2 linked regions of the Schizosaccharomyces pombe genome follow. The protein of the gene in region 1 binds, or shares a complex with, the protein of each later gene. Each region holds a gene or a part of one and is shown in the gene's direction. Other genes may lie near its edges.

Region 1 (3,753 bases):
GAAAAACTTCTTCTTTGGAAAATTAAAGAATACACTTACTGTTGTTTATTTCAGTGTTTGTTATTGTATTCACAATTATTTATTTGTTTACTTATTACATAAGGCTAGTGGATCACCTTAATCTTTCTAACTACACACACCATAAGAGTACAAAATTTTAGCAAGTATTTTGTATCAATTGAAATGTTTAACTTTACAAGACAGTATAGTGTTAAAGACGGCTTAATAACAGATGAATTGGCCAGTCACATCGTTGAGAACTTGCCAGCAAGATATGCTTCTGCTGAAACTTGGAAACGAATCTATTCGTTGCAACATGACGGCGCATCTCTTCAAACAATGTACTTAGCCTGCGAAAAGGAAAAAGCTCGAAGCGGCCATCCTAAAGGGGCTTGCATTTTAGCTGTGCGCGATACAGACGGCGATGTTTTTGGAGTTTTTATCCCTGATTATTTAATTCCTGCACCTCATTACTTTGGTTCCGAGGAAACCTTCTTGTGGAAATATTTTCCTCCCAAAAAGTATGTACATTACCCTTTCGTAGGAAATTCCAATTTTGTTGCATATTGCACCAAAAGCTTTTTGGCATTTGGTGGGGGTAATGGAAGATACAGCCTTTGGCTTGATGGCTCTCTAGAGTACGCTTACTCTAGTCGTACTCCTGCATTCGAAAACAATCCTTTGAGCTATCGTGGCTGTCCTGACCAACGAATCCAAATCGTGGACATCGAGCTCTGGGTATTGGAGTAATATCAACTAACGAATGAAAAGAAAAAAGAAAATAAAAGATGGACTCGGAAATGTGCATCAGCCCAAGTTTTATATTTATATCAAGATTAATATTTTACCGTGCTTTCTTTATGACTAATTTATTCAACCAAAGACAATTTTATGCTGACTCTATGCATTGATTATTATTCTTAATTCAAGTTAACTCGTTGATTTGCATGTTCAATCAATGAATATCGAGTTTACCAGAAATTCGAGCCGTAGGACTCTTCCCTCCCATTTGTGATGTATAGCTTTCTATCATCAGCTAATTTTTAATACTTCTTCTCAATTCCGGAAGATTACGTTTGTTAATTGATCAAGCATGAATATCCTTGCTATTAATTTCTTTACGCCTTATGCATTGAGTGAACGAATCAAATGAAGAGCATCCCCAATATCTTCTCCCCAATTGTCTATTATTTATTAATTTTCTCTTTTTCTATTCATAACTTTTAATGCTACACTTAGTATATTTATTCACGTGGTTGCTTTTCATCAACAATTCGTATCGTCCCTAATTGACGAATCGATTTCTACCATCCACTTTATATCAGTAATAATAATTATTATGAAGTTTTATTTATTATGTTTCTTTTTGATTACCGTGTAAACACTTGAAACCTGTATTCAAATCTCGATAAACTACCATAAGATTAGTAAAATGTTTGCAACCACTACCCAATTGTAGAAAACAAATTGACAAAATTTACCAACTTAACAGGATAAATCACCGTTTATATCTTCTGTTTATTATGTGGAATTTTTGTGGTTACTTAAATAAAACCACTTTCTTTCGCCAATAAACTATAAAAGAAATGAGCTATGCAAATTTAATATCCTAAATTTAATTACTCTTTGATTATTAACGTCTTTATAAATTCCTTTTTAGTCTCTAGTTGATGAATTGTTTAGAATAATCTTTAAGTTATAAGGCAGTGGAGCACGGCATCCTTAAATGACTGTTTGGGCTTAAATGATATTGAGAAATATGTCTAATCCCTCTACATTGTCGAAATGCCTCCATCCAAAGGGCTGAATGGCAAGCTAGAAAAGCCAAAACACGCTCTGCAAGGTAATGTTTTTGGGATTCAAAAAGTGTTTGTTACTAATTTTTAGCGATTGTTTTGTCGGATTCTTATAATTATCGGTTTCGCCCTCTTACATTAGATAAACCTCGCGTATGCAATTACCAGTGTACACTTTAAGTACTAATATTATTAGTGTCTTCTTCCTTTAGCAAATACCCCTTTAATAGAGTACACTTTTGAGTTTTTGGCATTGGCCGGGGTGCAAGAAGTTTATGTATTTTGCTGTGCCCATGCAGGACAAATTCGAGAATATATAGAGTATGTGCTAAATTGAGGTCTTAAATTCGAATTTCTGATACGATATAACTAACACAATATAACCCACAGAAAGTCAAAGTGGAATCTTCCCTCTTCCCCCTTTAGTGTAAACACGATTGTGTCAAGAGAATCTCTGTCGGTTGGTGATGCTTTAAGAGAGCTCGATTCAAAACAGCTAATTACCTCCGATTTCATACTCGTATCAGGCGATGTGGTATCCAATGTGCCTCTAAACGAAGTTTTGAAAGAACATCGGAAGCGCCGTGAAGATGATAAAAATGCTATTATGACAATGGTTGTACGAGAAGCAAGTCCATTTCATCGTACACGCGCCCGTACAGAGAGTTCTGTTTTCGTGATAGATAAAAAGACCAGCCAATGCGTGCATTATCAAGCTAACGAAAGGGGAAAACATTATGTTTCTATGGATCCCGAAATCTTTAATGAGCATGAAGAGTTGGAGGTTCGAAATGATTTGATTGACTGTCAAATTGACATTTGCTCCAATGATGTACCTGCCCTTTTTACTGAAAACTTTGATTACCAAGACATTCGAAAAGACTTCGTATATGGTGTTTTAACCTCTGATCTTTTAGGAAAAAAGATTCATTGCCATGTTGCTAAAGAAAATTATGCAGCTCGTGTTCGTAGTCTTCAAACTTATGATGCTATTAGCAAAGATGTTCTTTCTCGATGGGTCTATCCTTTTGTTCCCGATAGCAATCTTCTTAACCAAACTTTTAGTTATCAAAGACATCAGATTTATAAGGAAGAAGACGTTGTTCTTGCTCGTTCTTGCATTATTAAGGCACGAACTTTGATCGGTGCCTATACCAAAGTCGGTGATGCGTCTGTGGTTGCGAATACTATCATTGGTAGGAATTGTACCATAGGCAGCAATTGTAGTATAGACAGTGCTTTCCTTTGGGAAGATGTTGTCATTGGAGATAATTGTCGAATTGGCAAAGCCATTCTTGCCAATTCTGTAAAAATTGGAAATAATTGTTCAATTGAAGATGGTGCTATAGTAGCTGCAGGCGTTGTTATTGGGGATAATACAATAATTGAAAAAAATAAGCGTCTTACAACTTTCGAGAGTCACTCTCAAGGAACTTTGAACGATCCATCTTTGGTAGGGATTGGTGGACGTGGTCAAGAATATCATGCCGAAGAGGATTCTGATGATGAGGGAGAGTTTATGGAGGCTTCAGGGCTTATTGAAAGTACAAATGAGTTACATTTATCTGATTCAGAATCTTCAGAGACAAGTTCGTCTTCTGAAGAAGATATGGAATTTATTCCCTTTTCAGCTAGACGCGATTCTGCCAATACAATTAACTCAGAGGATTTCGATGAAGGAGATTTCAACAAGGAAGCTCAGCAGAGTCTTGAACGTGCCTTTGAAGAAAACCACCAAATTGATATTGCTGCTCTTGAACTCAATACCCTCCGAATGGCCATGAATGCCAACTATCACGAGGTGCGATCCGCAATTGTTCTTGCTCTTTTAAGGCGTATCATGCACTTAGATGTATCCCCCAAGGAGGCACTAGCAAAAGTAATGACACGTTGGGGTCCATTGCTTGCAAAACTGACATTTAGCCATGAAGAGCAAGTTGACAACGTATTAACGCTG
Region 2 (3,753 bases), 1.7 Mb from region 1:
CTTCGGGGGTATCACGTTCACCGATCACTAAAGGACGAATGCCATTGGGATCACGGAATCCCAAAACACCCAAGCCTGCGATCATAGCAACACATGCATAACCACCATTAACGCGATCGTATACATTACGCAAAGCTTCGAAAATATCATTTTCGTTTATACGAAATTTATCCAACCGTTGAAGCTCGTAAGCAAAGATGTTAAGCAAAAGCTCAGAATCAGATCCAGTGTTTACATGACGATGGGCCTCAGTGTCCAAAAAGCGTCGTAATTCGGGTCCATTAATTAAATTACCATTATGGCCCAACACAAGACCATAAGGAGAGTTAACATAAAAGGGTTGTGCTTCAGAGTGAGCACAACTTCCAGCAGTAGGATAGCGCAAATGACCAATACCCATACTACCTACGAGTTGGCGAAGTTGATGCTGACTAAAAACATCGGCAACCATGCCGGATCCCTTGCATTGGTAAAGACGACCTTTGTTTCCAGCGGTTACAATACCGGCGGCATCTTGACCCCGATGCTGCAAACTGTAAAGACCCTCATAAATTTCAGGACATGCCTGTTGATGAGGGTCAGCAAGCATTAACGCCAAAATTCCGCACATTTTCTAAAACTTGTTAGAGCTTCGGTTGTGAATTGAATACAAAAGATAATAAAATGATAGGTTTAAATGTACAAAAGAAAAAACAGCACCCAGTCAAATTGCTATAACTTGATTAAAATAATATGAGTCGGACTGTTCTATTCGGACAGCAATCAAAGTTTGAGAATACTTGGAATATAATTTCAATTTTTTTGTACCGACCGTAAAATGAGTTGTATGTTACCATCACAGAAAATAAAAAATTTTAATCAATTAAGCAGACCTCAGAAAACCTTGTAGCTACATAAGATGAAATTCAGAAGTCTAGCATCTAAATAAACGGTAATCATCATAGGCAAGTACTGCGGCGTTGGAAAATCAATATCTATATTAACTTACTTTTTAAAACGCGTACGAAACAAAAAAAAAAAGATTTTCAGGTACGCGCTGAACAAACACCGTAGTTGGGTATATTGTTAAGGCAAAATTTTGCTGCCGTATAAATTAATTTATTGTCCGCCTTAAATGATAGTGAAGTATGAGTCGAAACTATGACTGCTCAAGATTGTGATGAACGATTCGCTAAATAGAAGCTTAAAGAGAGGTGGGATATGCGCACGTTAATATAGGTAACAGGTATAGCTTGCTACTTAGCTGACAGGGTAGATGATATTAAATTGTTTGCTATTTTTGTTGCCAAAAAAAATTTTTTAAGCTTAAAAATATATCTTTAAATAAAACCTTCTTATATCAAAAAAAATTCGATGAAGTTAAGAGTGGTGCAGTGTTACAGTAATGCCGCATACACATCAACTTATTATTGAGCTTTACCGGAGGTATCCCATTACTATTTATTTGTTATAAAATCTTTCAATGTTCTGGTTTTTCTTCCTTCTTTACTCGGTAGTTAACAACAATACATTAATCACCGAGATGAGAGCTATGGGTAATCTAATCCAAAACTTTTAGTTCAACTTGTTACGATTGCAGTAGTCCAATGGTTTTTAAACTTAAAAAACTAATGAAAACAATACACAATGTACTGTATCTCTAATCTTCTGATTCCTCAAAATAATAGTTTACTAACCGGCTTCAAATATTTGTTCCTTAATTGGTGTACAGAGGATCATTTTCTGAGCGCTTGATTGATATTTTTTACTATCGGATTGATTATAAACCAGGATCGCGAAAACGTACCGATTTATAAATCGTTGATTATTAAAACATCTTTTTTAATATTGCACATTAAACAAAATTACAAGTGCAAAGCAATAATTAGTTTTCAAGCAGCTCCACATTTTGAGTTGGTAAATCATTTTAAAAAAAAATCATCAATAGTTCATATTTCATGAATACATTTTTCTAAACACAAATATAAATTCAGCACATTTTTATTTCAGATAGTGATGTGTAACGTGTAAACTTTTGGCTCGTTAGTAGGGATCTAGGAAAGTAAGGTTTTCCATCTTCATCAAATATTGGCGTACTGCAAAAAAACCCAATAATTCGTCTTCTATCAGGTTATAAAAGATTTTGGCTTCAAAGCATCCTTTTAGGTAAAAACCTTTTGTAAAAGCATCCAACGCCTTGAAGAACAACATCTCACAATGTCGTTGTATGAGCATGCTGCACTTCCTTTAGCCAGTAGCCCTTCAATCCTTGGACCTATTTCTGGTGGACGAAATCGGGGGAATATTCAATTACAGTCTATTCCGATTGAATTTCAAGCTGTTGTTTTTGCAGGATTTGGCAATAGGTAAAACAAACAAGTGTAGTACTGACTACTTAACGATTTGGATAATGATGACTTCGCACATATTATCTTCATCAACACTTAAAAAAGATAAAATAACAATAAGAAAATACTAACCATGTTTTAGTTTATATCCTTTGACTGGAAGCGATGCACTTCCCAAGGCTTTATTACCTATCGGCAATAAACCGATGCTTCACTACCCATTATATTGGCTTGAAGCTGCTGGATTTACTTCTGCTATTCTTATTTGCATGGAAGAAGCGGAAGCCCATATCAATGCTTGGTTACGATCTGGCTACGAGGGACATATGCGTATTCACGTGGAAGCACCGACTATTTTAGATGATTCTAAAAGCTCTGCCGATGCTCTTCGTGCTGTATCCCATCTTATAAAGGTATGATTTATTTTTATGTATAAGTAGATATGCATGTGTTCTTAGACTTTTTGATCTTTTCTCTCTCATTCTGCAATTTAATTACTCGTCTTAAAGTCACAAAAAATGCTAACCGATACCCACCAGAATGACTTTGTGTGTCTCAGTTGTGATAGTATAGTTGGTCTCCCTCCCATATACGGTTTGGATAAGTTTCGCCTTGATAACCCTTCAGCACTGGCTGTATATAGTCCAGTGTTAAAATATGAGCATATTACAAGTCAATCTAAAGAGATTGATGCAAAACAACTGATTGGAATTGAAGAGAAGACGAGCAGACTATTGTATGCCAAAAGTTCCGCAGACGTGGGCAGTGATTTTACATTTAGAATGTCTTTGTTGTGGAAACACCCAAGGGTTACGTTAAATACAAACCTTTCGGATGCCCATATATTTGTATTTAAACACTGGGTTATTGATTTGATCCGGGAGAAAGAATCTATTTCTAGCATTCGTGGAGATCTCATCCCGTATCTTGTTAAATGTCAATATCAGAAATCCTTTACTGTACGAGAGAACATTCAAAGATGTAAGTGCTTTTTTTAATTAACTATTTTCTAACAATTAAAGTTTTGTCATCTCCTAACAATATTGATAATTATGATGGGGGATTATCCTCACAGGAAATTAAAATTAATGCTTTAATTGCCAAAGATGGGATTATTTGTTCTAGGGCTAATAATTTACCTAACTATTTCGAACTTAATAAATGCGTATGTTTTCGAAAGCTGAGCTTCATCTCGCTTTTTAGCAGTTTCATCCAATATCTCTAACAGCAAACTAGATCGCCAAACTTACTCCAGAACAACGCCTTGTAGATGTCACCGTGTCCGAAAGAGCACTGGTCGGTGCCGATTGTATGGTGAATGAAGGTACCACCATTAAGGATAACAGCAACATTAAAAAGAGCATTATCGGTAAAAATTGTGTAATTGGAAAAGGGGTAGTGGTCAGCAACTCTATTTTGATGGACA

What was found.
Region 2: the proteins of tif225 (region 1) and tif223 are in contact, whole or in part, in a crystal structure (PDB 5B04), measured with the Schizosaccharomyces pombe proteins. Residues at the interface, in NP_594285.1 of Schizosaccharomyces pombe: Glu161 (codon at 2,422), Pro164 (codon at 2,431), Phe165 (codon at 2,434), Arg169 (codon at 2,446), Ser174 (codon at 2,461), Val176 (codon at 2,467), Lys181 (codon at 2,482), Gln190 (codon at 2,509), Asn192 (codon at 2,515), Lys196 (codon at 2,527), His197 (codon at 2,530), Tyr198 (codon at 2,533), Val199 (codon at 2,536), Ser200 (codon at 2,539), Met201 (codon at 2,542), Pro203 (codon at 2,548), Phe206 (codon at 2,557), Glu210 (codon at 2,569), Glu211 (codon at 2,572), Leu212 (codon at 2,575), Glu213 (codon at 2,578), Val214 (codon at 2,581), Arg215 (codon at 2,584), Asn216 (codon at 2,587), Asp217 (codon at 2,590); in NP_594962.2 of Schizosaccharomyces pombe: Leu195 (codon at 3,029), Glu200 (codon at 3,044), Gly215 (codon at 3,089), Ser216 (codon at 3,092), Asp217 (codon at 3,095), Phe218 (codon at 3,098), Thr219 (codon at 3,101), Phe220 (codon at 3,104), Arg221 (codon at 3,107), Met222 (codon at 3,110), Ser223 (codon at 3,113), Leu225 (codon at 3,119), Trp226 (codon at 3,122), Pro229 (codon at 3,131), Arg230 (codon at 3,134), Val231 (codon at 3,137), Thr232 (codon at 3,140), Leu233 (codon at 3,143), Asn234 (codon at 3,146), Thr235 (codon at 3,149), Asn236 (codon at 3,152).

The regions. Positions count from the first base shown.
Region 1 is NC_003424.3:3,669,530-3,673,282, reverse strand, and holds the start of tif225 (translation initiation factor eIF2B epsilon subunit tif225), read left to right. Parts: upstream 1-1,776; 5' UTR 1,777-1,785; coding exon 1,786-1,843; exon of another isoform or gene 1,844-1,887; coding exon 1,888-1,949; exon of another isoform or gene 1,950-1,992; coding exon 1,993-2,117; exon of another isoform or gene 2,118-2,186; coding exon 2,187-3,753. Other genes in the region: V-type ATPase inhibitor and disassembly protein in response to oxidative stress Oxr1, read left to right, coding at 184-750. UniProt on the Schizosaccharomyces pombe protein: Acts as a component of the translation initiation factor 2B (eIF2B) complex, which catalyzes the exchange of GDP for GTP on the eukaryotic initiation factor 2 (eIF2) complex gamma subunit.
Region 2 is NC_003424.3:5,365,352-5,369,104, forward strand, and holds the start of tif223 (translation initiation factor eIF2B gamma subunit tif223), read left to right. Parts: upstream 1-2,053; 5' UTR 2,054-2,196; coding exon 2,197-2,345; exon of another isoform or gene 2,346-2,414; intron 2,415-2,469; coding exon 2,470-2,740; exon of another isoform or gene 2,741-2,863; intron 2,864-2,866; coding exon 2,867-3,308; exon of another isoform or gene 3,309-3,349; coding exon 3,350-3,492; intron 3,493-3,563; coding exon 3,564-3,753. Other genes in the region: amidophosphoribosyltransferase Ade4, read right to left, coding at 1-610. UniProt on the Schizosaccharomyces pombe protein: Acts as a component of the translation initiation factor 2B (eIF2B) complex, which catalyzes the exchange of GDP for GTP on the eukaryotic initiation factor 2 (eIF2) complex gamma subunit.